Callithrix jacchus: one gene and its partners. The protein of the gene in region 2 interacts with the protein of the main gene of each other region in a pairwise test. Links are inferred from orthologs where the notes say so. Each region holds a gene or a part of one and is shown on either strand. Other genes may lie near its edges.

The links.
Region 1: the proteins of BIRC7 (region 2) and UBE2K interact in binary tests that used the Homo sapiens proteins (3 or more experiments, as listed by UniProt). The link is inferred for Callithrix jacchus from reciprocal best matches to the Homo sapiens genes BIRC7 and UBE2K.
Region 3: the proteins of BIRC7 (region 2) and POLR1C interact in binary tests that used the Homo sapiens proteins (3 or more experiments, as listed by UniProt). The two-hybrid records come from large-scale screens. The link is inferred for Callithrix jacchus from reciprocal best matches to the Homo sapiens genes BIRC7 and POLR1C.
Region 4: the proteins of BIRC7 (region 2) and CASP9 interact in binary tests that used the Homo sapiens proteins (3 or more experiments, as listed by UniProt). The two-hybrid records come from large-scale screens. The link is inferred for Callithrix jacchus from reciprocal best matches to the Homo sapiens genes BIRC7 and CASP9.
Region 5: the proteins of BIRC7 (region 2) and DDX6 interact in a two-hybrid assay, tested with the Homo sapiens proteins (3 studies listed by BioGRID and IntAct). The two-hybrid records come from large-scale screens. The link is inferred for Callithrix jacchus from reciprocal best matches to the Homo sapiens genes BIRC7 and DDX6.

The regions. Positions count from the first base shown.
Region 1 is NC_133504.1:154,117,829-154,123,628, reverse strand, and holds the start of UBE2K (ubiquitin-conjugating enzyme E2 K), read left to right. Parts: upstream 1-2,145; 5' UTR 2,146-2,334; coding exon 2,335-2,397; intron 2,398-5,800. UniProt on the Homo sapiens protein: Accepts ubiquitin from the E1 complex and catalyzes its covalent attachment to other proteins. In vitro, in the presence or in the absence of BRCA1-BARD1 E3 ubiquitin-protein ligase complex, catalyzes the synthesis of 'Lys-48'-linked polyubiquitin chains.
Region 2 is NC_133506.1:58,737,454-58,743,220, reverse strand, and holds the start of BIRC7 (baculoviral IAP repeat-containing protein 7), read right to left. Parts: upstream 3,733-5,767; 5' UTR 3,724-3,732; coding exon 3,399-3,723; intron 3,050-3,398; exon of another isoform or gene 2,505-3,049; intron 1,982-2,504; coding exon 1,882-1,981; intron 1,498-1,881; coding exon 1,416-1,497; intron 1,324-1,415; coding exon 1,278-1,323; intron 1,055-1,277; exon of another isoform or gene 736-1,054; coding exon 664-735; intron 524-663; coding exon 276-523; 3' UTR 1-275.
Region 3 is NC_133505.1:51,997,729-52,003,412, reverse strand, and holds the start of POLR1C (DNA-directed RNA polymerases I and III subunit RPAC1), read right to left. Parts: upstream 3,472-5,684; 5' UTR 3,449-3,471; coding exon 3,380-3,448; intron 3,253-3,379; coding exon 3,181-3,252; intron 1,241-3,180; coding exon 1,133-1,240; intron 858-1,132; coding exon 725-857; intron 507-724; coding exon 387-506; intron 298-386; coding exon 145-297; intron 1-144. Other genes in the region: protein YIPF3, read left to right, coding at 3,754-3,834, 4,468-4,677, 4,849-4,955. UniProt on the Homo sapiens protein: DNA-dependent RNA polymerase catalyzes the transcription of DNA into RNA using the four ribonucleoside triphosphates as substrates.
Region 4 is NC_133508.1:52,840,636-52,846,512, forward strand, and holds the start of CASP9 (caspase-9), read right to left. Parts: upstream 3,470-5,877; 5' UTR 3,307-3,469; coding exon 3,175-3,306; intron 1-3,174. UniProt on the Homo sapiens protein: Involved in the activation cascade of caspases responsible for apoptosis execution. Binding of caspase-9 to Apaf-1 leads to activation of the protease which then cleaves and activates effector caspases caspase-3 (CASP3) or caspase-7 (CASP7).
Region 5 is NC_133511.1:18,431,645-18,437,432, forward strand, and holds the start of DDX6 (putative ATP-dependent RNA helicase DDX6), read right to left. Parts: upstream 3,927-5,788; 5' UTR 3,895-3,926; exon of another isoform or gene 3,775-3,894; intron 3,332-3,774; exon of another isoform or gene 3,265-3,331; intron 3,110-3,264; exon of another isoform or gene 3,017-3,109; intron 1-3,016.

The DNA of each region.
Region 1 (5,800 bases), on a different chromosome or scaffold from region 2:
GATTACAGGCGTGAGCCACAGCCCTGGCCTGGAAACTTCTACCTGGTCCCCCTTTGAGTATTCCAAGTTTCTTTACATTCCAAGATTAGGATTGAATAGTGATAATGTAAAGTGCTCAAAAAGTTTTTGCACTCTTCAAAATAGTTTTTTTTTTAAGTCTACTGGCACAAATACATATAGCATTGGGTGATTTACATTAAGCCAATAATTACTTGTACCATGACCTATGTATATGGTTGAGTCCTCTTAGGACCACTAGGGGGCTCTGTTAGAAGGGTTTATATAATTTATGTCAGTCCACTTAGGGGGAATGTTTTGAGATATTTTATAGAGTTCTGAACTCTTAAAACTTGGAAGAGATAATCCAATCCAGTTTTCTCATTTCGCAGATGAGGAAATCAAAGCTGGCAAGAGAGCTGGCATGGGAGTAAACTGGAATTTAAAATTCTCCTCTTGGTACCTGGGGCAGGAGTTTAAGAAATTCTCTTTTGCCTTATGCCGCCACTGATTCACCTCCATTGGCTATTTCCGTATTTGGTGCCACAATTATAATTACTTTTGCTAAGACCATGTGTTTGTGATATTTTTAAAATAAGATATTTTATTGGTTGGCTAGGTGAAGGCAGTACATGAAGTATAAACTTCTAAAATAACATCTTTATTACTCATTCTAAAATGTTCTATTCAAAGTGTTTCTCAGTACCATATCATTATTACTATGAGCCTTAGAAACCACTCTAAAAAAAAAAAATTATTATTATCTTTAGAGATGGAACTTCACCATGGGGCCCAGGCTGGTGTCCAACTCCTGGGCTCAAGCGATCTGCCACCATCGGCCGCCCAAAGTGCTGGGATTACAGCACTGAGCCACCGTGCCCGACCAGAAACCACTTTCAAACTGACTTTCCACTTAAAGTATTTTGCACTTTTTGTTCTGTTTTGTTTGAGACAGATCTGTCGCCCAGGCTGGAGTGCAGTGGCCCGATATCGCTCACTGCAACCTCTGTCCCCGGGGTTCAAGCGATTCTCCTGCCTCAGCCTCCAGAGTAGCTGGGATTGCAGGCGCCCGCCACCATGTCTGGCTGATTTTTGTATTTTTAGTAGAGACGGGGTTTTACCATGTTGGCCAGTCTTGGTCTCGAACTCCTGACCTCAAGCGATCCGCCGTGGCAGCCAAAACATTTTACTCTTACGTGTACTCATTTATTCATTCAATATTTATTGAGTGCCTACTAGCACCAGGCACCTTTGTAGGCCTAGGTTTACAGAAGTAAAGCTCCCCTCCCCCACCCCCAGTGCCCTGAAAAGCACTATAATTGTTTCTATTTCTCCAATTTTCACTTTTATATGAATTTTCACATGCTTTAGTTCAGACATGGGCACAAGAATGAGTGAGAGAGAGAGTGTGTCTTGGGGCCATCCTACACTCTAGGGATGGGCACAGGAGTGAGTGTGTATAGGAGTGGGAGTATGTGCTCGCGCGCGCGAGTGTGTGTGTGTGTGTGTGTGTGTATCAAGCTCTGTATTATCTAAATAGGTCAAAGATCAACATCTGGCTTCTAGATCCATCATCAGGCCTCTCCACGTAATACCTGTCTCAAACCGGATCTGATTCAACAATAACCAGCCTTAATTCAATAATCTGTGCTACCTGAGATGGTGGGAATAATCTTGGTACTATAAATGTTGCAGAACAAAAACGACTGCAGCGGATTTTCTGGGGCTACACCAACTGAAAATGGGCCGGATCGAGTTCCGGGAGAGCGTTTTCCTGCACTAGACGTTTTCCCGCACCCGGCGTTCAGCCACCGGGTTCCGGGTCTAGCTGAGTCAGGAAGGCGCTCCAGCCGATTGCGGCCTCGGGAACCGTTCGGTTGCACCCGAACCTTCGGTCAGAGTCCAGGGGTTGGCAGCCCGGACCACAGCACCCGGGTTTAAACAGAAGTGGAGGCGCCGGGGAGGACCGGCGGTCCCGGCCAGTTTGGAAGGCGCACCCTCCCGGCTCCAGACGCCGGCAGGGCGGAGTCAAGCGGCCGCAGCCCCAGTCGAGACGCGCGCTCGTGGCTCGGGCGAATGGGGGCTACAACGGGAGCGGCTGCGCCGCCCGGCCGGGTCAGCATCATGCGCATGCGCGGACCCGGCGCCATTTTGGTGGCCGGGCGCGGAGGTGATTCCACACTGAGGAGAGCGCGGTGGCCGGGGTGGTAGTGGCAGTGTTCGTGTGCTCGGGTCTGAATCGCTGAGGGAGGAGGCGGTGGAGGAAGAGGTGGCGGCGGTGGCGGTGGTCGTAGCGGTGGCGGAGGAGGCGGGTACGAATCAGCTGCGGGCGGAGACATGGCCAACATCGCGGTGCAGCGAATCAAGCGGGAGTTCAAGGAGGTGCTGAAGAGCGAGGAGGTCAGAAATGAACTCCCGGACATCCCCCACCTCTGCCCGGGCGGGAGGGTCCTCCCAGCGTGACCCCGATATCCCCGGTAGTCCCTGGGTGGCCCTCCTTGCGGCCGCCCTTCTGCCTGTGGGGAAGCAGTAGTGCTCCCCTCCTCCTTCCGCCGCCTTCCCCTCCCCTCCCACAGCGCTAGGATGGACGGTCTCGGCGGGCGGGGGGTCTGGGGTGGAACACAGTTTGGGGAACTGATGGACAGGGGGGAACTCCTCGGCGGGATGGAAGCTCACGAGAGAACCCGAGGCGGTGGCCACAGCTGGAAGTGTGGCTCTGGGGTGGGGAGGGAGCAGGCCGAGCCCGAGAAAACCCGGGAAGTGGGTTGGGGGAAGGGGAAAGGTGGTAACTGTATCCGGAGGAGCCGGTGCTGCTCTAAGGCCCACACTTTTGAGGATATTCTGGGTTATTGCCTGTCAGGCCGTCACCGTCCTTTTCTTAGGGAAGGAGCGGTGAGTCCTTAGGTATCGATTAAAAAGGAAGGACATTCAGAGTTAGTCCTTCTTAGTTGGGTGTTAGGAGTCAAGGGGAGAATAATAGAATACTGTCTTATTCGGTGGCAGGGATAAGGGAATTTTCACCTCTGTTAGCAAGTTAATTCCAAATGAGATCGTTATGTCTTTTCCACTTTACCCCCAAATTCCTAGGCCTCGTCTTTATCGACATCTCAGTCTTTGAGTGGGCAAAGGCAAGGTGTTTGGTGTATTAAAGACATTTAAATATTTTTAGTTAGAAAAAAAATGGAATGTAAGAGTAGCTTATTTCAAAATATTGTTTACAAGTTACAGATCAGAGAGACTGTCCTAATACAGTACCTCTGTGACTAGTGTTGTGCCACGAAACTTCATTATGATGTCCCTCATAGTTAACTTGATTCTTACTTTTGAAAAGTAGACCTATTAAAAACGTGTGCTTTTACCAGATTAATACACTGTTTTATCTCTTTATTGAGTAGATTTATCACGATATAGCAGATTTTCAAAAAAATTGCCTCCCGTTGCTCTTAAATCCTGCAGAATTTAGATATATTAGTACGTTTAAGTAAGATATTCACAATGCTCTAGTAATTTGACTCAGAATTACATAAGTATTAGTACAGTTTTTCATACCAAAAATCAACAAGAATACCAGATTGCCTTCCCCACAAGGATTAAACAAAAAGTAATACAGAAAATGGTTATTTTCAAGATTCACGTACCATTATTGAATATATCGTTGCTTTTGTGTTTTTTCTTTTACGGTTAGTACTTCGATAATGTCGATAGTGATTAGTGAAATTCAGCATTCTAAGTATGTGATGAGTAGACATGAAGAAAAAATTGTTTAAAATTCAAAAATGACAAATAGGCTTCTTGAAAGTAGTAGTATGTAAGTCATGATCAGTTTTACAGAGCATGTGTATGAACTCTGACCTCTGTTCATATGCCAAAACTCTGAATGGAAGGATGACTTTGTATTTTGTGGTACAGTGCAGAAACAGAGTCATAAGTGTTTGTATTGATAACAGTGAAACAGCAATTTTAACTTAATATGAAAATGTATTCCAGGATATTTGACATATATACTTCTAATGGAAGATAGCAGCTAATATTGTTGCCAACAACCTAAAACATTTCTTGTTTAATAAGGTTGTAGAAGCTTGAAACTTAATAGACTTTTAATGCTTTATTTTCTATTACTGAAAAGTGGTAAGTTACTACTCTAGTAATTTATATGGTCTCTGCTTTTTATGAGCTGACTTCACCGTGGTATTCTTAGTACTTAACTTGAAGATTACCAGAAATACTTGTATTGCTCTCTAGTAATGCATATTGTTAAAATAACACTGCTCATTATACATAAGGGATGATGGTTTACTTCAAATAAGTATCATAAGCGTTTCAGAAGAAGAAAATAGGGACGACAAACTTTTTTTTTTTTTGAGAACAGTACCTATAGAAATATGGAAAGAAACTTCTTCTAGGAAAATAAGTTGCAAAGAACATTTAGGAAAAGTTCACATCACTTAATCTTGGAATAAATATAACCAATAAATAGCTTATTTTCACCATTATTTTTTGACATTTTAGTGTCCCAGATCTATAAGTAGATTGTTATTTTCAACTCATTGAAGGACTTGTAGTACAGTCCATGTGTTTCCTTTTTAAGGGTGTAAATCCAGTCTTTTGAATGGCTGATCAAATAACTATTTCATCATGTCACTTTTTTGGTAAATCTGCACTTTACCAAAGTTTATTTCATATGCTTGTGTGCTTGTGTTTAGTAAGAACACTGGTTGATTTAAGGACTTTTTGGGGTGGCCTTTTAAGTGTCTTTGTAGAGATAGCTGACGCTTGTTGGATTGTGGTGGCCATTCTTAGAGTGTGTTAATTAAAATACAGCCAACAAGATAAATGTGAAAAGCAAGATACAGAATAGTGTGGGAGAGGCCACCATTTGTTTCAAATGGAGGGGAATATGTGTATTTGCCTGTGCAGGTAAAAGGTTTCATGAGAAATTGGAAAAATTGACTGCTTTCTGTGTAGGGGAATTGGGTCTCTGGGGCATGGGGAGTAGATATTTTTTGAATTATGTGTCATATGAACGTGATTTACTCAAAAAAGGCACCATTTGGCCTCTTTCCCTTAAGACAGTGTTTGGAAATTTGTCAGATGTTTCTTTTTAATTTATTAATATTTATTTTCTTTGTTTTAGATGTTTATTTTTAAATATGAGTATGAATTTTAAGTCGTTTTAAATAATATTCCAAAGTTGTTAGGCATGGAATATTGATATAAAGTACATTTTATAATTATTTTATGAGTTGGATTACATAAGTAAATTGTTGATTATGAGGATATAAAACCCTCTGAAGAGGCACATCTAAAAAAAAGGATAATTATTCATAGGTTGTATTTTTTACTATTAATGCTGCTATTAGTAACTAGCTGCCATTTGTAGAATGGCTGGTTGTTCTTAGTATCATTTGTTTATACATTATTGCTAATTCTCAAGAACAGTTCTTTAGATTTCCTATTTCCTAGGTGAGAATATAGAGATTCAGGCAAGCTAAATTATTTGTCTGCAAACATGGAACTTGGGATTTGGATCTAGGTCTGCTTGTGTTCATATTATACCATGCTGTCATGACTTTCCAAGGATAGGCATGCTTTTATTTATTTAAAAAAAATCGAGCTTGGTTTGTATTACTGGTTAAAGGATTTAAACACAGTTCAATCTCATTGAAATAGTGTTCCCTATAATTTAAGATTTAGTTGAATTTCTGAGGCCGGGCGCAGTGGCTCATGCCTGTAATCTAAGCACTTTGGAGGCCAAGGTGGGCAGATCAACTGAGGTTGGGAGTTTAAGATCAGCCTGACCAAC
Region 2 (5,767 bases):
TCTGTGTGGCCACCAGGGCAAGGTGCTGAGAAGGACCTGCTGGAACCTCAGCGTCAAGGGAGGTAGTAAGATTAATAGGCGCTGACAGTGGGGCGCGGGGGGCGGGGCAGGGGAAGGACCAGCTGTCTCTGCCACCGGGGAAGGGTCTGCATGGGTTCGGGCGGACAGGGCTCGCTGGCTCAGGGCCACTCTGTGGGTTCGGGCGGGTGGGGCTCGCCGACTCAGGGCTGCTCCACAGGAGGGCTGGCTTTGTGGGCGCTGGGCGCTCACCTGGCCTAGGACAGGAAGGTTCGGACGCGGCCTTGGACTGGCGCCCGGCAGATGGGGCACAGCTGCAGGCTGGAGGCGCATGTGGCACAGACCAGGTGGCCGCAGGGCACGAAGACGATGGACACGGCGTGGTCCAGGCACACCTTGCACGTCCTCTCCTCCTGCAGCTGCCTCAGCTGCTCCTCCATGTCCCTGGCCCCCGGGGGCTCCAGGACCCACCATGCCCGCCGGGCCTGGGTTGGACTGGCTCCTCCTAGGAGATAGACCTTTGAATGCACCCTAGCCCTGGCCCCCACCCTCTATGGGCTGTGGAAGGTGGGCATCACCCAGCACCCCCGGTGCCATCAGCCCTCCCCTGGCCCAGCCCCACCCTGGGGAGTCCTGGGCCTGTACCTGGCTCCTGGGTGCCCTCAGACTGGACTTCTCTTCTGGGCATGGGCAGCTCTGGGTCCCTAGGGGCAGGGGCTGTGGACAGTTAGCATGGATTTGAGGTCTTGCTCCCAAGGGGAAAGCCGGGCTGACTCGAAGACAGATCCACAGCTTGTGGCGTCCAGTTCTGGCCAGGAGCGGAGGGGCTTCAGAGTCCCCCTGCTCCCACACCACTTCCCACCCCTCCCACAGCAGAGCAGAATCCAGAGGCTTCCTGGAGGGGCTGCCAGAGAGCCTGGCCCTTGTCCAAGGCCCTCTGCACATCCAGCCCCTCTGGCAGTGGCTGTGGCCGCTGTGTGCTGGGCACTGTTGGGGGTGCTGTGGCAGGCGGCAATGGGCTGTGCCAAGGGGTGAGCTGGGGGAAAGCAGAGTTAGGGCCTGGCATTGGCGGGAGGCCCCTGCTGCCCCATCCCCATCCTCATGGCACAGCCCCCATGAGGTCAACCCTGGTGGCACCTCACACCCAGTCATGCCCATCACTGTCCTTGCTGTCTGGCAGGGTGGGGACACCCAGTAGCTTTGGCCAAGCACAGGCTGCGGGTGCCCGAGGAGGCAGCCAGGGTGGTGTCGGCTCTCACCCGAGGGGGCCACAGGGGCTGCGTCTTCTGGTTCTTCCCACGGGTCCTGGAAGGAGCCAGAGAATGTTGGTGCCTTGGGGAAACAGGAGGGGCCGGACCCCATTGCCTCCCGGAGCCCCGAGGAGAGGTGGCGCTCACCCAGGAGCCCAGCAGCTGGGAGTGAGCCTCCTGCACACTGTGGACAAAGTCTCTCCCTTTAGACTGGAGCAGGAACTGACACCTGCAGATGCCCCCAGATGTAGGCTGGGGCTACGAGCCTCCTGTCAGCTTCAGCCCTCAGAGCCCCTGGGGCCAGGGTTGGGCCCCTCCTCCCACTGCCCTGCAGTGCCTGTGGGCATGGGCTGGGGGGGCTGCTTTGGAGACGCCTCGTGGGCCTTCAGGGTATTTCCGTGGGAGAGGAATTTCTGCCCTCAGCAGCCCTTCCCAAAAGGGGCCCTCACAGGAAAAGTGGGTACCTGCCGGGCAGAAGCACCATCCACAGAGGGGCCTTCCCAGTGCCCTGTGGGGCCAGGGAGGCAAAGCAGGCCTGGGGTTGGGTTGACAGAGCCCTTCGGGGCCCACCATGACCCGTGATCAGACCCAGGGTGCCGGGAGCAGCCAGTACCTGGGGAACCATTTGGCATGCTCTGTCCAGGGATCGTCCCCGCACTTCCAGCTCTGCAGGCCCCCATAGCAGAAGAAGCACCTCACCTTGTCCTGTTGGCCTGGGTTGTGACAGAGATACTGGCACTAGCCAGGCCCCACCCAGCCCCAGGACCCCCGCTTCGTCCTTCCAAGGTTATGAGAGCTTGGGGTGGAGGGGTGGGGAGCTCCCAGGTCGTATCAGGGAGGAGGGGTGGGCAGGGGCTTGGCGGGTGATGTCACATGCACACCATTTGCATCAAAAGTGAAGGGGACAAGACTGTCTGGGTGCCAGGCAGGACGGGTGAGAAGGTTCAGGAAAGGACTGAGCTGGCATTTGCATTGTCCACAGAGTGAGCGGTGGGGGCCCCCCAAGGCCTGGCACATCTATAGCCCTGGGGCTTCGGGAGTCAGAAGGGCCCCTCCCCAGGTCTCTGCTTCCCAGAATGGATTACAAGTGAGCAGAAGGGGGCGGCTACCCTAGAAGGCCAATCTGGTGCCAGGCTTGGTTTTAGGAACTCATGCCTTCCTTTGGGGGTGGGAAACCCCTCACTGCTCTACCTCCTGGCAGCTCCATCCCCTCATGGCAGACATGGGATATGTCACCTGGCACTGCCATCACAGGTCTGGGCTGCAGCAGGCGCTGGACCTCTGGACCCCCAAAGAGCCCTGCTCTGCAGCTGCTATACCTTCGGCCCGGCCTTCGCCTGCTGAGCCTTGGACCTCCGGGGAGGTGGGTGAGCTGGGCCGGCCCCTTCACGATGAGGCTCCTGACTGTCTCAGCCACGGTCCCCACCCCCAGCTGTCTCATGTTGGTCTGGCCTTCCCAGGACGGTGCCCCCCAGAGCCCATTGCTGACGATGACCAAGGCTGTGCCAGTACTTGTCCCTCAGCCAGGAAGGGGCAGAGCTAAGACCTGAACTCAGGTCTGACCACGTGGTCCCAGATGTAGGGCCGAGGAGCAGGCCCAGGCCAAGACTAAGATAGGGGCTCTGGGCGCTTGGTTCCGTCGGGGAAGACCAGACAGTGGCTGTGGGCTGGGGCCTGGAGAAATTCCCCACAGACTGAGTGGCCAGGACCTCGCAGCTGAGCACTGCCTGCCTCGGTCACCCTGATCTGTTCCTTAAACATCTCACCCCATGCAGACCAGCGGTGGGGGGAAGGTGAGGGCCCCAGGCAATGTCAGCCCCTCCCACTTATATCACAAAGGGGTACTTGCACGCCCAGGTAGCAGCCTCCACAGCTGAGACTCCCAGACTGTGGCCAGAGGCAGCCCCTCCTCCTGTCCCACAGTCTAACAACTAGGCCAGCAGAGACTCTGGGGGAAAGTGTCAGGCACCAGGACATGGCCACTGAAGGGGCTTACAAGACCATTCAGTCATCAGGCCGGACCCTTCCCTCTAGGGTATGGGTGCCACGAAGGAGGCAGAACCCTGGGCTGGAAGAGTCCAGAATCATGCCCAGGGCCTCAGCAGGAAAGCCCCATACCCCAGGACTGACCTGTGTGGAAGAAGCCGGCAGCGGCCAGCAGCTCGGGCGGCACCCCAGCGGTCAGTGGCCAGTCATAGAAGGAGGCCAGACGCAGCTCCTCAGAGCCCATGCCGGGGAAGGCAGGACCCCTGGGCGAGGTGGCCCCGGCGCCATCCTCCTCTTCCTCCGCTGCCAGGGGCCGAAGCTGGCCCAGAATCTGCCCATCCACGTGGTCCCAGGCTCTGAAGGTGTCCAGGCCCAGGACAGGGCAGCACAGAGTGTGGGGGCCACGGTGCTCCTCGGGGCTCGGCTCCGGCCCACGGTGCAGGCACTTGGCACTGTCTTCAGGCCCCATGGAGGGAATGGCAGCTCTGGCCAGCTCTGCAGCAGCAGTGGGGCAGATGGCCAGTCCCAGAGGATGCCTGGCTGCCCTTCTGGAGCTCCTGATCCCCGCACCCACCCGGGGACAGCAGGGATAGGCACGGCGTTGCCACCAGTCACCCTGGGTGGGGAATATCCTGGGGCCTACTGCTTTCTGGAAGAGCCCAGGGTGGCCTCTGGGATCGCATGCTCTGTGCATCGGGGGCGTGTCATGGGGCCCCTGGCAGGGTCTCAGATTCCGCTCACTGCACGTGGGCAGGCAGTGTCTCTCCAAACCAGAGGGGAGGGAACTGAGCATGGAGACCCTCCCCCAGGCTGGTGCCTGCCCCGGGCTGTGGGGGACCGGTTGGGGAGCCAGAGATGATGGCTCTGGGGTCAGGCGCCCAGGGCAGCCTCTGGAAGCAGAGAAGGCTCAAGTAAGAATGGATGGACTGTGCGGCCGACCAGGCCGGGGCTGTGAGCCCCCACCTTTCCGGGGTGACTCTGGCCGCACAGGGCCTAGTGCCGTGTCATTCGGGGCTGGAGCGGGAGGCAGGTTACCCGGGTGTTCTCTGAAACATCCTCTGTCCCACGGGGCCTCCACAGGTCTCGGAGCAGCTCTTTTCCTCAGGCCATGAAGATCAGAGCAGACAAAAAGGCCTGTGCTGCGCTCCCCTCCCCCGGCCCCTTCCCATCCCTTTCTCCCCCTCCTTCCCCCACCTCCCTCCACTTCCCCCACCTCCCTCCACTTCCCCCACCTCCCTCCACTTCCCCTACCTCCCTCCACTTCCCCATCTCCCTCCACTTCCCCCCACCTCCCTCCACTTCCCCCCACCTCCCTCTACTTCACCCCACCTCCCTCCACTTCCCCCCACCTTCCTCCACTTCCTTCCATCTCCCTCCACTTCCTCCCACCTCCCTCCACTTCCCCCACCTCCCTCCACTTCCCCCACCTCCCTCCACTTCCCCCACCCCCCATCTCCCTCCACTTCCTCTTATCTCCCTTCACTTCCCCCATCTCTCCAGTTCCCTCTGTACCAGCCTCCCCAGATAGCCAGGAGAGAGGCTCTGATGTCCCCAAGAGAGGTGCATCAGTGTGGGCACTGGGATTGGAGCTCTGAGGTTGGCTGTGACTCGAACCCCTGGTCCAAGCTCCACAGCTGCGCCATGCTGCACAACTCCCAGCGAGGGAGCAGGGAGGGGGACTTGACCCCAGAGAAGCCCAGGGGTGGAACAGGAACCCCAGGGACACCTGGGCGGGACAGAGAGAACAGATGGATGGGCCCAAGCCTCACCACTCCCCAACCCCCTACTGAGCCCTCAACCCCGGCAGCTCATCCATCTAGCTGGCCCTAAGAGTCCCCTGTCATCGTTCAGCCTCTCTCCCCTGCTGCTCATCCTGGAAGGGGTGTGCAAGGTCACAGAGTTAAAGGAAACGAGAGGAGTCGCAAACTATGGGGCTGCTGGTTGCTGCAGGGAACACAAGCAAGCAGGAGAGGGTTAGCCACGGTGGAAGCCATCCATGGTGAGTGCAGGCGGGCAGAAGAGGGTTGGCCACGGTGGAAACCGTCCATGGGGAGTGCAGGCGGGCAGGAGAGGGTTAGCCACGGTGGAAACTGTCCACGGGAGCACAGGCGGGCAGGAGAGGGTTAGCTGCAGTGGGAACCACCCACCTGGAAGCCTGGCTGGCAGGGCACCAAAGAAGCTGGCCAGTCCCCCATCGCATGCCCTGCCAGGGGGACAAGAGAATTGTTCCCATTTCGCTATGATGGTGCCCTTGAACTCCAGCCTGGACCCTGTCTCAAAACAAGCAAACACCAAACAGCAGCAACAAACCCTAGCCCCACATTCCTCCAGAGAAGGATTCGAGGTTCCCTTCGGGCTCCTTCAGGGACCCTGCGATTAAACCTTTCTATGCTGTGACCCAGCATCATGGCATCTGGACTTGCTGTGAGGGAGCATCAGCAGCTAACCAATCACTGTTACCAGAGACAAGTAGGGCTGGGAGGGAAGAGAGGATCCCTGCAGCCAGATGCCGG
Region 3 (5,684 bases), on a different chromosome or scaffold from region 2:
TAGGAAACCCTTCTTCATTCTTCCTAAGCTACTTACAGCAAAAGACATAACCCTGTTGGCTTTCTACCTTTGGGGAATATCTTGGCTGAGTTCCTCAGTCAGTTGGCCCCACTGCCCTTCCCAGGAAGGCCCAAGGGTTCTCACCAATGCCCTTGACACAGTGCATTAGCAGGTCAATTTCCTGGCCAGGCCGTAGCTGAGCAATGAGGATATCATCATGCACTGGTCGGATAGTGCCCTCTGGGAAGAGATCAGCCTGGTTCCCCAGGGGAATCCATGTCATATGCCTGGTATACACTGCAGGAAAAACGTGTCAGAGGATCTCAGTCCCTAAAACTAGCAGCCACCCACAGGTGGGCCCTCTTCCTCACTCTACCACTACTTACCTTTGTGGTTCATGTACAGTTCGTTGGGGTCAGAGGAATCTTTAGCAGCATGGGGGTTCCGAGTACATCTGACTTGAAGACGAAACTGTAGAGTATCTATCTCTGTGCCTTCTTCATCTCCTGCACCAATGGAGAGAGCTCTTAAGAACTAGTAAATATCTGAGTGCCAGCACTATGCTGAATGCTTTACATATTTCCCATTTAATTATCTTGGCAAACTTGGGAAGAGAGGGCAAGTGTTCTCACAGATGAAAAACACTAATATACTTACCCAATGTCACAGTCAACCAGGATTTAAACCCAGACAGTCCACTTCTCCCAAAATTTCATTTTCTCACCTTGGTTCCGATACTCAAAAAGACGGGGGTCAGCATGAATGGGAATGAGCCCCAGACGGTGAGCAAGGATCTCATCCTGAACAATAGATGTGTTGTTGTACACCAGGACCTTCTCCACAGCCATAGTTGGCACCTGCCCAAGGAAAAAATCACTTATCAGCAAAAACCCAATAGACCCCCTACCTATCCCCACAAACTCCAACCTCCAGAGGTAGGGAGCTATCTCTCTTCCTAGAATGTTTAATGAGAAGTTTACAAAGAATGAGAAGGTAAAATCCTTAGCCAGCAAAACTCCAGGAAAAATAAGAAGGGAAGGACAGCTTGAGACACTTAATTCTCCAAGTGACACTCCAAGTGTCAGTGCAGTTCCCAAAGCAAATCCAACCTTGTCACCATGCCTGCCAATACCTCAGCTAACAGAATTCGTCGAAAAGCATTGGCAATGGATGCATCAATTCCCACCATGTCAAACTCCAGTGAGTTTTCATCCATGTGTACCACATCCACACGGAAATTCTAGAGGGACAGGAAAAAGATTAAGTGAAGCCTGCTCTCTTTGTAATAGCTCTTCATACCTCCCCCTCAGATGATTCCAAGTATTATCCACTCATCCAAAAACCACCCTTTGCCCAGACGTCCCTTATTAAATGTTCTTTCTCGTCCAGTGCTTGCTTTAGGTTCATGAAAAGTGTCCATTTTTTGTCTTCCATTCATTAAAACCCTATCCAATATGGCTCCCAACCAAACCATCCACAGAAGCTATTGTCCTAAGAACAGAAACCCACCTCACTGCTTAGTCATGCTGACACTAGACAGTCCTTTTACTAGACGTCTGTTACGCCTGGCATTGATTAAAAAAATCCCCTCCTGGAAAGGCGCAATGGCTCATGCCTGTAATCCCAGCATTTTGGAAGGCCAAGGTGGTTGGATCACGAGGTCAGGAGTTCGAGACTGGCATGGTGAAACCTCATCTTTACTAGAAATACAAAAAACTAGCCGGCCATGGTGGTGTGCACCTGTAATACCAGCTACTCAGGAGGCTGAGACAGGAGAGCTGCCTGAATCCAAGAGGCAGAGGTTGCAGTGAGCTGATATCCTGCCACTGCACTCCAGCCTGAGCAACAGAGACTCCATCTCAAAAAAAAAAAAAAAAAATCCCCTCCTTTTTTGAACTATTCTCCTGGCTTCTGAGCTCCATTCTTCCTTCTCTGATGATCAACAACGTCCACCCATCTCTAAATCTACCAGGTTCTGGTCTCTCTCCCAGGTGACCTTAACCACACTAACAACGGTTTTAGCAACTATCTGTGCTGACACCTCCCAAAATTTTACCTCCCTTCTGATCTCATTTCAAATATGCAGTCTTCTAGCCTGCTAGATTTCTCCAAATGCAGGAAACGACGTATCATCATTCCTCTTCCCCAGACCCATTTCTTCTCTCAGTAAATGATACCACAATGCATCAAAGCAGTTCCCAAGTCAAAAAGTCATTTTATGCTACCCCAACAGCCTTTACCAAAGCAATCACAAATTTACCTTCTTTCTTCCTTTGCTCTCTTTCTACCGTCAGTCTTAGTTCATACCTTCAACCTCAGCTTCCCTTACAACAGATCTGCCTGCTCCATACGATCCTCTTCAAACTCATTCCCTCCCAGCTATCAGGGTTGCAAATCTAATCATGTCTGCTTAACTATTCAAGCTCCCTATCATCAACAGTGCCCAAGACACACTTCAATCTTGCCTACCACTAGTGCCAGAACTGCTTGGACATTCCCGGAGCACAATTCACACCATAACTTTTTTTCAAGCATTAGCCTTTTTCATTGTTCATACTTTATTCCTGTATCAACAGGTTAAAAAAAGTAAAATTTTCCCAAGCACAGATTTATAGATCATGTTTTATAAACTGCACACACAGTTCAGTTGCATAAACAGTAACATTCAGTGATCTATTTAAATGCAATTTTAATCCTTATTTTAAGCTAAGTGAAACAATAATAGACTAAATACACACAAAACCTGTATATCCTCAACTTCACTGACCTGAAACTCAAAGCCTTCCTAATTTAACTCCTGTTCTTTACTTACCGTTCAAAGCTCAATTCAGATCTTCCCTCCTCAAGAAATGTTAAGTACCTCTGGGCCCCTCTTCCTGGTCTCAGCATAATGTTCCCCACACGAATCCTGCCATCTTCACAGCTATCAACCACCTTTACCATATTAAACTAGATTCACTTGTTTATACGCACCATTCCTCAACAAGACTGAACATCTTGTTTGCAGAACTGGGTAGAAACTGTGTCTAACTTGGCCTGTAAACGGAGGTCTACCACATTGCTCAACAAAACTTACAAACGGAGCGACCCCCAAGAGCAGCTACTGAGACAGACACATGCTGCTGAGACCACAGGGTCTGGCCCTCCTAACAATCCCCGGACAACTCTGGCCCCACTGACCTTCTCGAAGCGTTCCTGGTCCCAGGCATCATCATAACCGGAATAGTTACCGGGAAAGTCAGTGGTATGGACCTAGAGCAAAGGGATGAGTTTGTCCACAAATGGACAGTGAGCCTACGGCTATCCCCACGCCAATCCCAAGACCCATCCCTGTTCCGCTCTCATTCCTCCCGCCTGAGCTCAAGGACACAAGTCTTACATTGCGAACCCCAAACTCTCCTAGAACCACGCGGCTCCGCATTTCTTCCACGGCCTGAGTAGCCGCCATGTTCAATCTCTCCAAAAGACTACAGGCTCTAGCTGGCGCGTGCGTTCTAGCAGCACTGCTCCATCTCCGTGGCAACGCACCGCCTCCTGGAATCTTAAATATCGCGAGACTTTGCTCCACCTTCATCCACGTCCCCAATTTCCGGAAGTTGGTTTTGTCCAAACATCCGGGTTTCTCCTTTTTGTGTTCCGGCTGATCCCACCTCTCCGCGACCTGGGACCTCTCCCTTCTTGGGACTCACATCTCGCACACTTCCCTGCGCGCGGGGCTATCGCGGGCTTCAGCGACGGGAGCCCTCAAAGGGCATGGCAACTACAGCGGCGCCGACGGGCGGCGCCCGAAACGGAGCTGGCCCGGAATGGGGAGGGTTCGAAGAAAACATCCAGGTAATGGCCCCAAGGCACCAGATGCCAGCAACCCGAGGGCCGGCGATGTCCAGAAGTGTCTTGGGGATTCTCCCTCGGGGCCTGGAAGTTCACTCCATTTGCAAAACTGCCTTCTTTGGGTCTTGCACACAAAAGTCAGTGGAGTTAACATTGACCTGAAAGGGCCAGACTAGTCTACTACTCCAGCCTGAGGATCTCGGGTCTCTGGGCCCGCCCGAGGCGTTAGGAAGAACGTATTCTTGGAACAAGTTAGGAGGTTGGTTGGGGTCAGGCCTGGAGTGGGGTTGGGTGGGATTCACTGGCACTCGCCGAAAACATACTGTGTTCATAGTTTTGTTTGGGGCTTTGGAAAGACAGAAATGGATTCTTTTTCAAGCTTTTAGTCTTTGATAGGTAAGGTAGGAGAAAGACATGAATGGAAGACTAGTTGGTTTCCCAGGCTAGAAAAGATAGCCAAAGCTATAAATCAAGCGTTCTGAGAGCAAATGAGGGGGAATGGAGTGGCATGATCTGTAGTGATTCCAAGCCGTATCCTCAGCAGTGGAAGAACAAAGCCCTAAGCCCTGGGATGAGCAGAGGACTTAATGGATGGAACAGAAAAGTCCTGCACTCTAGGAGCCATTGTCTTAACAGGGCGGAGGCTCAGCTGTGATTGACATGGAGAACATGGATGATACCTCAGGCTCTAGCTTCGAGGATATGGGTGAACTGCATCAGCGCCTGCGCGAGGAAGAAGTAGACGCTGATGCAGACGCTGATGCGGCTGCTGCTGAAGAAGAGGATGGAGAGTTCCTGGGCATGAAGGGCTTTAAGGGACAGCTGAGCCGGCAGGTGGCTGATCAGGTAAGCAAGATGGAATCCCCTGCAGGTGGAAAAGTAAACCTAGGTGTGTCCCATGTCCTGGAGTTGGTATTGGTGTGTCGCCCCAGGTTGTCCTGGTAGAAATCAAATGGAAAATAGGCAACAGGGTCTAATGCCAAGAGTTCCACAATACCTATGCCCATCTTCCTTCAGATGTGGCAGGCTGGGAAGAGACAAGCCTCCAGGGCCTTCAGCTTGTATGCCAACATCGACATCCTGAGACCCTACTTTGATGTGGAGCCTGCCCAGGTGCGAAGCAGGTGAGGAGCCTTCTCTTGAAGAAGCTTCCCTCCTAATACCTACTCCTTCATGCACTCTACAAGCCCTGTGCTCTGGTGGGCTCCCCCTCTTCGTGACCTCATCACCTCTCATCACTGCACCTGTCATTGAACACAAATAATCATAACACAGCGCCTTCCTCCTCTTTTCCATCTAGCCGACTACTCATCTTCCCTCAAAACCTACCTCAGATGTCACTTCCCCTATTCCACATTCCTCAATCCCATCCCCAGTTTGTTCTCTCCTGGTATTCCTATAGAACACTTGCCTCCAACAGACAGCACTTCAGCACTGCCATCCTTTCATATTGCTGGAATTTTCCCCCCAGAGCAGGCTCTATCTTGTTTATCTTTTTATTCCCAGCACCAGAACAGTCTCTGAACCAGAATATCAGGGCATAGTTTTTGAGTGACTTTTCAAGAACTAGATATAATCCTGGCTTGTTTTGTTTGTTGTTGTTCATCCTTTAATCAGTGCTAAGCAAATACCCAGGACCACTCAGCAAGTATTTATTAAGCATTTGCTCTGTGGCAGACCCTATGCTAATTGTATCCGGTTCGGTGGTGAAGATGGATGGGAGCCTTGCTCTTGAGTACAGTTATAGTACAGTCCTCATGCTATGATGGGGTACACGGGATCGATATGTGAGCCATAGCAGGTTGGTGGGTGGGACGGGGCAGGTTTCCCAAAGGAAGTAAAATCTAGCTAAA
Region 4 (5,877 bases), on a different chromosome or scaffold from region 2:
AGGGAGGGGCCACAGGATGTGGGCACTGACTAGGCGACTATGAAGGCAGAGCAAGGATCAAGGTTGACAGACAGGCCAGGTTCAGTGGCTCATGCTTGCAACTCCAGCACTTTGGGAGGCTTAAGTAGGAGGATCACTTGAGCCCAGGAGTTTGAGACCAGACTGAGCAATGCAGCGGGGCCCTGTGTCTACAAAAAACAAAGATAATAGCCAGGTATGGTGCCACATGCCTGTGGTCCCAGCTACTCAGGAGGCTGAGACAGGAGGATGGCTCAAGCCCAGGAGGTCAAGGCTGCAGTGAGCTGTGATAACACCACTGCACTTCAGCCTGGGCGAAAGAGCAAGACCCTGTCTCAAAAAAATTAAAAAAAAAAAAAAGTTGACAGGCGTCAGGATGGTGGGGTCAGTGACTAAGACAGATGGAAGATTCTGTTTATCTGCCACCTGTCCTCAGAGACCTAGCACTGGTTAAGTTCTCAGGATCCACAGAGATAAGATGGCACCGTGTCCTCAAACACCCTATAGCAGCACTGTCCACGAGAACTTTCTGTGATGATGGAAATATTCTTAGTGGACACTGTCCCATACGGTAACCGTGTATCACGTGACCATTGAGCCCTTGGGTAGTACAACTGAGGAACTGAATTTTTAACTTTACTTAATTACTTCAAATTTACCTTTAATTAACCACATGTGGCCAATGGCTACTGCTGTGAACAACACAGACCTGTAGTTGAGTCTCACTAGCAGAACAGTTGACTATGTGCAAACAGATGGTGGTGGTTGGATTTCTCTCCACATTTGCTGAGCACTCCAGGAGGTCAGCACTGTGTTAAATGCATTGTTTCACCTTTTTCTCCCTCAATAACCTTACAAAGTTAAATTTCAATTTCCCAACATTTTAGGGCAAAAAATTTCAGGGAAATTGAGTCACAGAAAGGGTTTTTGTTTGTTTGGTTCATCGAGTGTGGCTTTTTACAACCTGCCAATATGTAACAAAGCTAGGATGAGAGTCCAGATCCAACTGGCTCCAAAACCTGTGGGTTTTTCAGCCATACCAGGGTGGCAAAATCGCAACCCGTGGTTCCCACAAAGTTCTTTAAAAATTTCTGAATTTGTTGCTAACATTTTAAGCCAGGATTTAAGCCAGGGAATTTGACAGAGGAATCAAGATTTCCAACTTCTTTCTTAAAATGGGAAAGCTGGGTTGGGTGCAGTGGCTCATGCCTGTAATCCCAACACTGAGGCAGAAGAATCACTTGAGGCCAGGAGTTTGAGACCCATCTGGGCAACACAGTAAGACTCCCATCTGTACAAAAAAATAAAATTTAATTTAAGTTATCCGGGCATGGTGGCATGTGCCTAAAGTCCCAGCTACTCTAAAGGCTGAGGCAGGAAGACCACTTAAGCCCAGGAGGTCAAGGTGGCAGTGAGCCATGATCTCACCACTGTACTCCAGGCTGGGCAAGAATGAGACCCTGCCTCCGAAGAAGCAAAAGATCTGGCAATCCTGGGCCATGTGCGGATATGGCCATATCCAGCCTCAGCTGGAGACGGAGGGCAGTGCAAAGGCTATCCACTATGATGCCCATCCATCAAGCCTCCATGGGCATTGATCCCTGTGAACATCCCTGAAAACAACGACTGTGGCCTCAAACCACTTCTGTTCCCCAGTAGGGGTCACACAGAAGTCACAAGACTTCTTTTATTATTAATGAATAATTACTCATATGATACTCAATTATTATATTTATATTTTTTTGAGACAGAGTTTCGCTCTTGTTACCCAGGCTGGAGTGCAATTGCGCGATCTCGGCTCACTACAACCTCCGCCTCCTGGATTCAGGCAATTCTCCTCCCTCAGCCTCCTGAGTAGCTGGGATTACAGGCACGCACCACCATGCCCAACTAATTTTTTTTTGTATTTTTAGTAGAGACGGGGTTTCACCATGTTGACCAGGATGGTCTGGATCTCTTGACCTCATGATCCACCTGCCTCGGCCTCCCAAAGTGCTGGGATTACAGGCGTGAGCCACTGTGCCCGGCCGATACTCAATTATTTAAAGGCTCTTTCACTGGGACCAGGGCACCGGCTGGGGATATCCAGCCAGCCACTCACACCCACTGTACCTCATGGTGGGAAATAACTCCTTTGTCCTCACAGGCCTGTGGTGAGGGTCACGTGAGACAAAGATGGGAAAGTGATTTTAAAGAAAACCTTAGATGTTTGACTTTATTATTCTCCATTGCCTGCATCAGGTCCCCTATTTCCAAAACCTCTAAACAAAACATAAATTGAACACAGAAAGGGCTGGCCTAAGAGGGCAGGGCAGACAGCCTGAGGGTCTGTGCCTGGCTCTACACTGTTTCACATCCATTAACTCATTTAGTCCTCATTACAGTATTATTGTATTCCCATTTCACAGCCCAGGAAACTGTGGCTCAAAGAGAGTAAGTGACTGGCCCAAGAACAGGCTGCCAGGCAGTCTGATGCCAAAGCGGGTGGCCGAAACCTCTACGCTAGAAAAGCAAAAACACACACACCTCCTTCCTTGCAAGTGTTAAAAAGTAAATTAAAATGGAGACTAACCCTGAAGAATTCCTGAGCAGACAATACTAATCAGGCATCCTAAGTGACCTAAATATTGTTTAAACTGCAAAGATAAGCAAAATTTAACCTGGGTCATATCTGATAAATGCTTATGTTAGAGAGAAGCAAAACTTAACTCTAGTCAATCATAAGCAAGCATAAACAATGAAGACCTTTTTTTAAAAAGGCAATTTTGTAACTGCAAACCAATCAAATAATTCCTCTATTTTGCTTCCACGTTTTCCCAATAAATACTTGCCTCTGACGCTTTGCCACTGCAACACTAAACCTCTTTCAGTTTGATGCTCTCCAATTCAAGAACTGCTTCTTACTCAGTTTTCAAAATGTGTCTCACATTTTTCATTTACACAAGACACTCCTGCACTAACAGTGTACTCTGAGCATGGCGTGGAATCGCTTTAGCGAACACCCGACTAAGAAAGAGGTGTTTGGGATTCTTTGGCTCCGCTGGGGGACTAGAACCCACCCACAGGGAAAGCTGGGCTCCCACACAATGGCTCTTCGAGGGGTGTGGGGACCTGGTCGTGCAGCGCGGGAACAGGAGGCCGGGGGCGGGGGCGCACCTGGATGTCCTCGATCATGTGGGGCTTGAACAGCTCGCGGCTCAGCAAGGCGTCCCAGAGCTGGTCCACCCGCAGCTCCTCCACCAGCAGCCGCCGGTGCCGCTGCAGAAGCAGCCGGTCCGCTTCGTTCATGGCGAGCAGCCTCCACCGTCCGCTTCCGGGCCTCGGCAGCGCGCCCAGGTCCCTAGGACCCGCCCTTGCTTCCAGATCCCGCCCCCGCGTCACTGCCCCGGGTCAGTCTTAGCTACAACGCCTCAGGACGCATCTCCAAGGCCTCGCCCCGCCTCCAGGAGTCGCTCTTGCGTCACCGCCCCGGCCTTAGGACGCCCCTCCGGTCGTCGCCCCGCCCCCAAGGCGAAACGTCACTTCCCTACCCCGCCTCAGAACCCGCCCTCGCGTCACCGCCCCGCCTCCAGGACACATCTCCAAGGCCTCGCCCCGCCCCCAGGATTCGCTCTTGCGTCATCGACCCGCCCCAGGATTCAACCCGCGCCCCAACCCTCCCCCAAGGTTAATCTTGTGCCACCTCCCCGCCCCCAAGGTCTAGCCTCGCGCTACCGCCCCGCCTCCAAGAATCAACCCCTCCACTTACCCCACCCTCAGAATCGTCCTTGCGTCACTGCCCAGCCTCAGGCTCCAGCTCGCATCCCCACCCCTTCCCCAAAGTCAATCACGTCCCCAAGATCCATCCTTCCGTCACCGCCCCGTCCCGAGGCGGCACTTCCGCGCCTCGCCCCGCCCCCAGGGCCCAGCCCAGCCCCCGCGTCACCGCCCCCTCCGGGCGCAGGTGCCCCTTTGCAATTGTGGCACCAGTTCCTGGTCCACGGCGGGCCCCTCGCCAGAATTCACTACGGCCCCGCTTTTACAGAGGTTCGAAAGGAGTTGTCAGACTTCTAGCAAAAAGGAAACCATTTGTGGAGCCATGGTCTGTCCCGCCCCATTCAACCTCCTCCTGGGCATGGCTTCCCCTTAGCCTCCTCCTCCACCCCAAATAAAACCATAAGCTCCCCCCCTCAACCCTGTGCCCACATCGCAGATGGCTGTTCCAAACTCGAGTGTCTGATCCGACCAAGCCCACTTTACACAATCTTCCTTTCCCTCTTCCCTCCCTCCCACCCTAACACCTCTCACACAGAAAAAAAAAAGCTGGCAGTAATCTAGTCCTCTAACCTCCCATCGTTTTGAACAGTTCATTTTCACATTTCAAAAATAATCGTTTCTGTTTAGTGGGCATTTGCTAAGTCCCAGGCATCGTGCTAACCACTTTTCAAGCTTATCTCATTTCTCCCTAACTACAATCCTGCCAAGAAAGTATTCCCGCCCCCCGCCTTCCGCCAATTTTACAGATGTAGAGACCCTAGGGTTCAGGGAAACGGATGTTTAAGGTCATATGAGTAGTAGTGGCCGAGGTGGACAGGATTGAAACCCGAATCTGACTTTATAGGCCATACTCGAAGAATCTAAGAGTCTTAGAATATAATCGCTTGAACTGCAACACCTCAGCCCCATTTATTCACTTATTCTACGAATATTTATTGAGCCTGTAGTCAAACACTGAGAACATGGAGGTGAATAAAACAAAATCTCTGCTCTTAGAGTTTACATTCCAGTAGGAGGATCAGATATAAATAAATAAGAGACCGTAGAAATAAATGAAAGACATAGTATGTTAGATAGTGATAAATGCAAAGAGAAAAAAAAAAACAGGGTAGGGAGATATGAAAGTGCTTTATATCCCCAAGGGATCTAACTCACTGGCTCAAAGTTTCTCTCACTCACCTGTGACATTTCCCCCCCCCCCCACCTCCTTTCCCTGTGCTTAAGACAGAGACTGGAACATCCTTGGGTGGAGCTCACTTTTTAGTAAACGCGATTAGGAGTCCTGGATTCTCTCAAAAAAAGATAAACAAAAATAGAAGGAATCCTGGATTCTAGGCCTCGGGAAAATCCCTGCCCCGCTCTGGACCCCAGTCTCTCTATCAATATATGGAAGAGTTGGAAAGTTGAAAAATCCCTAAGGTCCTTCCAATCTGACGCTCTAGGATTCTATGAATAGGGTTAAAGAGAGCAGGGACAAAAGATTGCGTCCCCCTCCTAGCAACTGTTGCTAGACGAGGGCCACCTCCCGGCAGGAGCGGAAACGCCTTCCTGGATCGGGGAGGTCCTTCTGGCATCCCATGATGCATAGTGACTTCGCCTCGCTAGGAGGCACGTTTTGGCCTCTTTGGTTCACGATGAAGCCTTTGGCTACAACCGAAGAGCGCGCCTCGTTCCTGTAGCAACCGCACCAGGTCCACGCGCAGACGGCGAGTGGCAAGGTTCAAAATAAATTCGCCAAGTAGAAGCCCTCGACCTGTTCAGTCCTCGCGTTCGGTGCGACGGACCTTTAAGCGTCACGTGACTCCCCTTCGGGCTCGTCCCCGCCTCTTTCCCCTCCCCAGGCCCGGGCGAGAGCCGGTTTGGACGGGAAGCTCCCGGCCCGGCGAACTAACTGGAGCACGGACGCTGCAGCCGGTTGGGCCGGTGCCCTTTCCCGGTAACTCCTTCCAGGCGTGACGCGCGGAGCCGCGAACGCGGCGGGGCCAGGCCGACTCAGGGATTTCCCGTCAGTTCCTTCTCGTTTCCAGTCACTGCTGGGCCCGGGGGGAGCCGGGAGCCAACAGGGCCCGGCTCTCAGCTCTCGGCGGGCGGCGGGGGAGGGGG
Region 5 (5,788 bases), on a different chromosome or scaffold from region 2:
TTTATAACAAACTCAGCTAATAACTAATCTGATTTTACATAGTATTAATTAAACAGGAAAATTCCTGTGCTAAAAAAAAAAAAAATCCATGAAAGACTAAACGCATTAGTAATTTAAAGAAAACTTTCCATCTGGGTGCGGTGGCTCATGCCTGTAATCCCAACACTTTGGGAGGCCAAGGCGGGTGGATCATGAGGTCAGGAGTTTGAGACCAGTCTGGCTAATACGATGAAACTCCGTCTCTACTAAAATACAAAAATTAGCTGGGCATGGTGGCATGTGCCTGTAGTCCCAGCTGCTCAGAGGTCTGAGGCAGGAGAATTGCTTGAACTTGGGAGGCAGAGGTTGCAGTGAGGAGAGATGGCAAAACTGCACTCCAGCCTAGGTGACAGAGCAAGACTCCATCTGGAAAAAAAAAAAAAAAAACTTTCCAAGAAACCCAGAGTAGTAAATCTAATTAATACTTAAAACAAAACAAAACAAAACAAAAAAAACTGGCAGATGGGCACAGTGGCCCAGGCCTGTAATCCCAACACTTTGGGAGGCACAGACTGGTGGATCACCTGAGGTCAGGAGTTCGAGACCAGCCTGACCAACATGGTGAAACCCTGTCTCTACTAAAATACAAAAATTAGCTGGGCTTGGTGGCAGGCACCTGTAATCTCAGCTACTTGGGAGGCTGAGGCAGGACAATCGCTAAAACCCAGGAAGCAGAAGCTGCAATGAGTCAAGATGGCGCCCTGCACTTTAGCCTGGGCAAAAAAGCAAAACTCTGCCTCAAAAACAAAAACAAAACAAAAATGGCCAACCTCATTTTAAAATTATCCTGTAAATGGAAATCTCACATTTATTTATTTATTTATTTATTTTGGAGACAGGATCTCACTCTGTTGCCCAGGCTGGAGTGCAGTGGCCCGATCTCAGCTGATTGCAACCTCCGCCTCCTGGGTTCAAGTGATCCTCCTACCTCAGCCTCCCGAGTAGCCGAGATAACAGATCCGGCTCATTTTTGTATTTTTCGGTAGAGACGGGGTGTCATCAAGTTGGCCAGGCTGGTCTCCAACTCCTGACCTCAAGTGCCTGCCCAAAGTGCTGGAATTTCAGGGGTGAGCCACCGCTCCGGCTTAAATCTTACTTTTAATTGTAGTTAATAAAAACATACAAAGACCTGAAAACAAAGCCCTACTCTCTTGGCTTTTCATTTAACCCCGTTACTTTTCTTTTCTTTTCTGAAGTGGAGTTCAGCTCTGCTGCCCAGGCTGTAGTGTTAGTGGCACGATATCGGCTCACTGCAAACTCTTGTCTCCCAGGTTCAAGCCAAGCGATTCTCCTACTTCAGCCTCCCAAGTAGCTGGGATTACAGGCACCCACCACCACGCCCAGCTAATTTTTTCTGTTTTTAGTAGAGACGGGGTTTCGCCATGTTGGCTAGGCTAGTCTCAAACTCTAGACCTCAGTTGATCCGCCCGCCTCGGCCTCCCTAAGAGCTGGGATTACAGGAGTGAGCCACCGCACCCGGCAACCCCATTACATTTCTTACCTAAAATACACTAGCTTACGAGTGTTGATTCTGCTATACACCCAAGGCATTTGAAACTAAAAATTTTCAAGTCAACAGATCTCAAAATTTATGAGAAAACGCTCCTTCATTACGCCTTCCTTAAAAAAAAAACTGAACAAGTTGCTCACAAGCAAATCCTGATTATCACATACACAAAGTTGTTTATTCGGAAGTCCTTCTAACTCTGACCTCTTAAGCAGATATGGTTAACAGCTACTTTCCTGTATTGACGGGTTTATATTATGATCAGCGATTCACGCAGTTCACACAGACTTAGCTGTTAGCAAAGCACTAAGAGGATGAAAAGGGCAACCTCTAAAGACCAAATGATATCATCATTACCGTCCATCATGCACAGTAAGAGCTCCTATCTCCTTAAATCCAAAATGAGACTATGTGGTAACTGCTCCCTTCTTAAACTGAAACCTGCACTGCAGCTTTGTCTCAGAGAAGGAAATATTCCTCCTACCCCTTCCCAATTTAGATTTGCAAGTTATCGCTCTACATTAAAAAAAAAGAAAGAAAGAAAAAAGAAACGTAGACTAGAAACGTAGACTAGTTGGGAGGAGCCCCTAGCGAGTTAATTACAGCACTCCTCAGATCGTAGTTAGCAATTGACAGTTTCACACCCAAAACAGTATCGTCATCGCCAACAAGAGCTTTTATTTGCAAATGCAGCGCAGCAGTTTCTCTAAGCTTTGCCTGCAAGTTGGGGTGACAGGGTTTTATTCTGAAGGGAAAAAGGGGGCTGTGGAAGAGAAAACAGAGAGAGACAGGGAAAGAGACAAGTCAATGACGGAAGCCGCGTAACTGCAGGGAAATAATTCATCGCCCTCTCCCTCACCCCTCAAAACACACTTCAAGTCAGCTCCCTCTGAACATAAACACAAAAGGTAGGGGCTCTGCAATCCTATCTGCGCAATTTGAGCCAGCAACCAGCTCCGCCAGTAGGAAACAATAGGGACTCTCCCCAGGAGACCCCGAAGGGACCCCCCCAACCCAGAAATCCCCCTCCTTTCCTCCAACAGTCGGGAGCTCCATTAGCACCCTCCTGTTACTGACCCGCAAGGCCTACTGCAATCAAGCAGCGGCGGGTTCGCTTCCAAACCGAGCTCTCCAATACAACGTCCCTGCCGCCCCCTATAGGGCCGCCTCGTACCCTATAACCTCCACCATCATCCCCCTAAGTCCTGGCCGCCCCCTTCGGCCTCATATTCCCTCGACTTCCATAAGGCTCCTCCGAGCACTTAGCCCACTCCTCCTGCCGACCCTGCCGCGCACCACATTCCTATATTCGCCTCCTCTCAGGCGCCCCCACCCCAAACAGCTGCCGCCCGCCTTCCTCCCCAGACTCGGCCAGGCCTTAGGCCTCCGCCCGACGTAGCCCCTCAAAGACGGCCCGGGGTACTCCCCGCAGCCCCCACAGCACCTCCGACCTCGACCCCACCACCTCACCCCTGGCCTCGCGGCTCCGGCCGAGTCCCACCAAGGAGGCCACTCCCGCTCAGCGCCCTCGGTCCTTTATTGTTGACTCGAAGCTCCCAAAATGGCGGCCGCTCCTTCCTCCTCGGAAACCTCCGCCCGCCCCCACCCGGCCCCCTCGCTACGGCCTCCTCCCGCCCGCCCCCCCGCCCCGCCTCACACCGAGGGCCGCGTAGCCCAGCCGCCAGCACCGCTGGCTTCCCCCGGCCATCCAGCCCTACCTCCTCCGCTGCCCGCTCTCGTGGCGCCGCCGAAGTCGCCGCCGGGCTGAGCTAGCTCGGCGCCTCTGCCCCTCCCTCGCTCGCCAGCTCGCCCGCCCGCTGCCTCCTCCCTCTTTCCCTGTCTCTCCTCATGGCGGCGACCGCGGCTCCTCCTCCATTCAAGATGGCGAAACCTCGGCCGCCGCGGCGGCGGCGTCACTGCCTCCCCTGCCTGGTGGTGGGAAGAAGCCGGGCCGCGAAAGCCTCCCGAGAAGAAAATGGAGGGCTCTTCTTTCACACCGACAGGAAAAGTTCGAGGGGGAATACGAGTTTCTTTCCGAAGGGACAGGAGGGCTGCTTTCCACAGCTGCGAAGCGACTGGGGAATAGTGGCTGGCAAGGGTCGCCCTGCCTTCGCCCCTCCAAAGTAAAAATTGGGAGTTGAGACCAGAGGAGGATCTGCTTATTCCATGACCAAGGATATGTTTTGAAAACTGGCCCTAGGGCAGCTGCTCGGGGACAGGAAGCTGACCTGACGTCTCCTGCGAGCCCGGGAGGCTGAGGCCGGGCCTAGGGGGCCGCTTCCGAGCCTTTCGGGGCGAGGGTCCATGCAGGAAGGCGCGGAGCTAGCGGCGTGGGGACGCCGGCTCACCTCTGAGCGTGGGGGCGGGAAAGAGGACTGGCAGTGCCTGGAGGCAGGAGGGAGGACTCCAGAGCGCGCGCGGGGGGCGCTGCGCCGAGGGGCGGGGCTGGCCTGTAGGGCGCGCCCGGTAGGGGTAGGGCTCCTGGCTTGAGGGTGCGCCTTGGGGGAAGGCACGGGCAGAGGGCGCGCCTGGGGATGATAAAGCGGGTACACCGAGCTTGAGGGTGCGCCTGAGGGGTTCCCATAGGGTGGGTACCAGACTCGAGGGCGACCCTGGGGGGCTGGGGGCCAAGGCACGGAGCTTGAGAGTGCGCCTCGGGGGGCTGCAGGAGGAAGGCAACGGGCTTGAGCGCGCGCCCGGAGAGGACCGCAGGGGTCCCGACTGTGAGGGCGTATCTTGGGAGACCTGTCGGGAAGGAACTGGGAGAGGAGGCGTAACTGGGAGTGGGGCAGGAGCTGGGTTGTGAGGGTGCCGCGCAGGGGGCGCTGCTCAGGGGGAGTGGGGAGGCCTGGTGGAAGGGTGGCAAGCCGAGAGAGCGCACCTAGGAGGAAAGGGTGGTGGGGGGAGAAACTGGGTTGTAAGGCGCAGAGCTTGGTAGTGCATAACCCTTTCTCCTGCCTTCGAAGGGCGACACTCAAGAAAGTGGGGGTGGAAGGGGCCGGGACTCCCCCAAAGGGAGGGAAGCTACTGAAGCGTCAGCTATAATGGAAATAGAAATTCTGTAAGGAAATGCAGAACCTGAAGGCAGAGAGTGATTCTTCTGCCTGGCCCTCAGTATAAAGATATTTTTGGCCAGGCGCGGTGGCTCACGCCTATAATCCCAGCACTTTGGGAGGCCAAGGCGGGTGGATCACGAGGTCAAGAGATCGAGACCATCCTGGTCAACATGGTGAAACCCCGTCTCTACTAAAAATACAAAAATTAGGTGGGCATGGTGGCGCGCGCCTGTAGTCCCAGCTACTCGGGAGACTGAGGCAGGAGAATTGCTTGAACCCAGGAGGTGGAGGTTGCGGTGAGCCGAGATCGCGCCATTGCACTCCAGCCTGGGTAACGAGAGAAACTCCGTCTCAAAAAAAAAAAAAAAGATATTTTTGTATGTTTCCATAATTACTTTTCAGATCCCAAGGTCTTTGTTCACTCTTGATAGAAATAATAGAACTGCTGTTTTCTCTCAAGTTAAACAAAACTTTGGAGCTAAAAGCTAACTAGGTCAAGAGAAACTAAAAATTTGGGTCTCGTGCAATTGAGACTGAATATACAAACAATGGCCAAACCTATGTGACATTAAAACTCCTACCCATGACCTCTGCAGTAATCGGCCCAGAATGGTCAGGACTTGGTCTTTTTAACTGGCAGCTTCCCTATTTCTTGCCGCTGCTTCCAGCTCTGGGCCAATCAGAAAAAGCCAAATGTGCTCCCCCAAAACCAATCACATAAGAAGCTCTGCTTCTAGTTAACCCTCCTCCAACTTCCCGGTGCCAGCAGCCACCAATGAGAGCCAATTTGAAGTTTCTCCCTCTTCGCTATATGTAGAGCTTTTCCATTCCCCTGCCTGCCTATGAGTCTGCCAAACCAAGTGATTGCGGCTACCTCCCTAGGCAGCTCTGAGTAAATAGCCTGTTCTCATTTGGTGATCCTTATTTCTACCCAGCCAATGGGAAGGTGGTGGAGAATAGTATAAAGACTATTCTTGAAGTTAAAAACAAGGTTCGCATTAATTTTTTTTTTTAATTTTGAATTTACAGCATGGCATCTCCTGCCCAGGCTTTAAAATACCTACTCATGTAAGGAAATAGCCCTGCACCTTGTGCCCATCCTAGAGAGAAAATGGCTTCTTAATGTATGAGGCTTTTTTTGTCCCCAGTATCTTCCCAAGCAGCAGGAATGTGAAGGGCTGTTGGA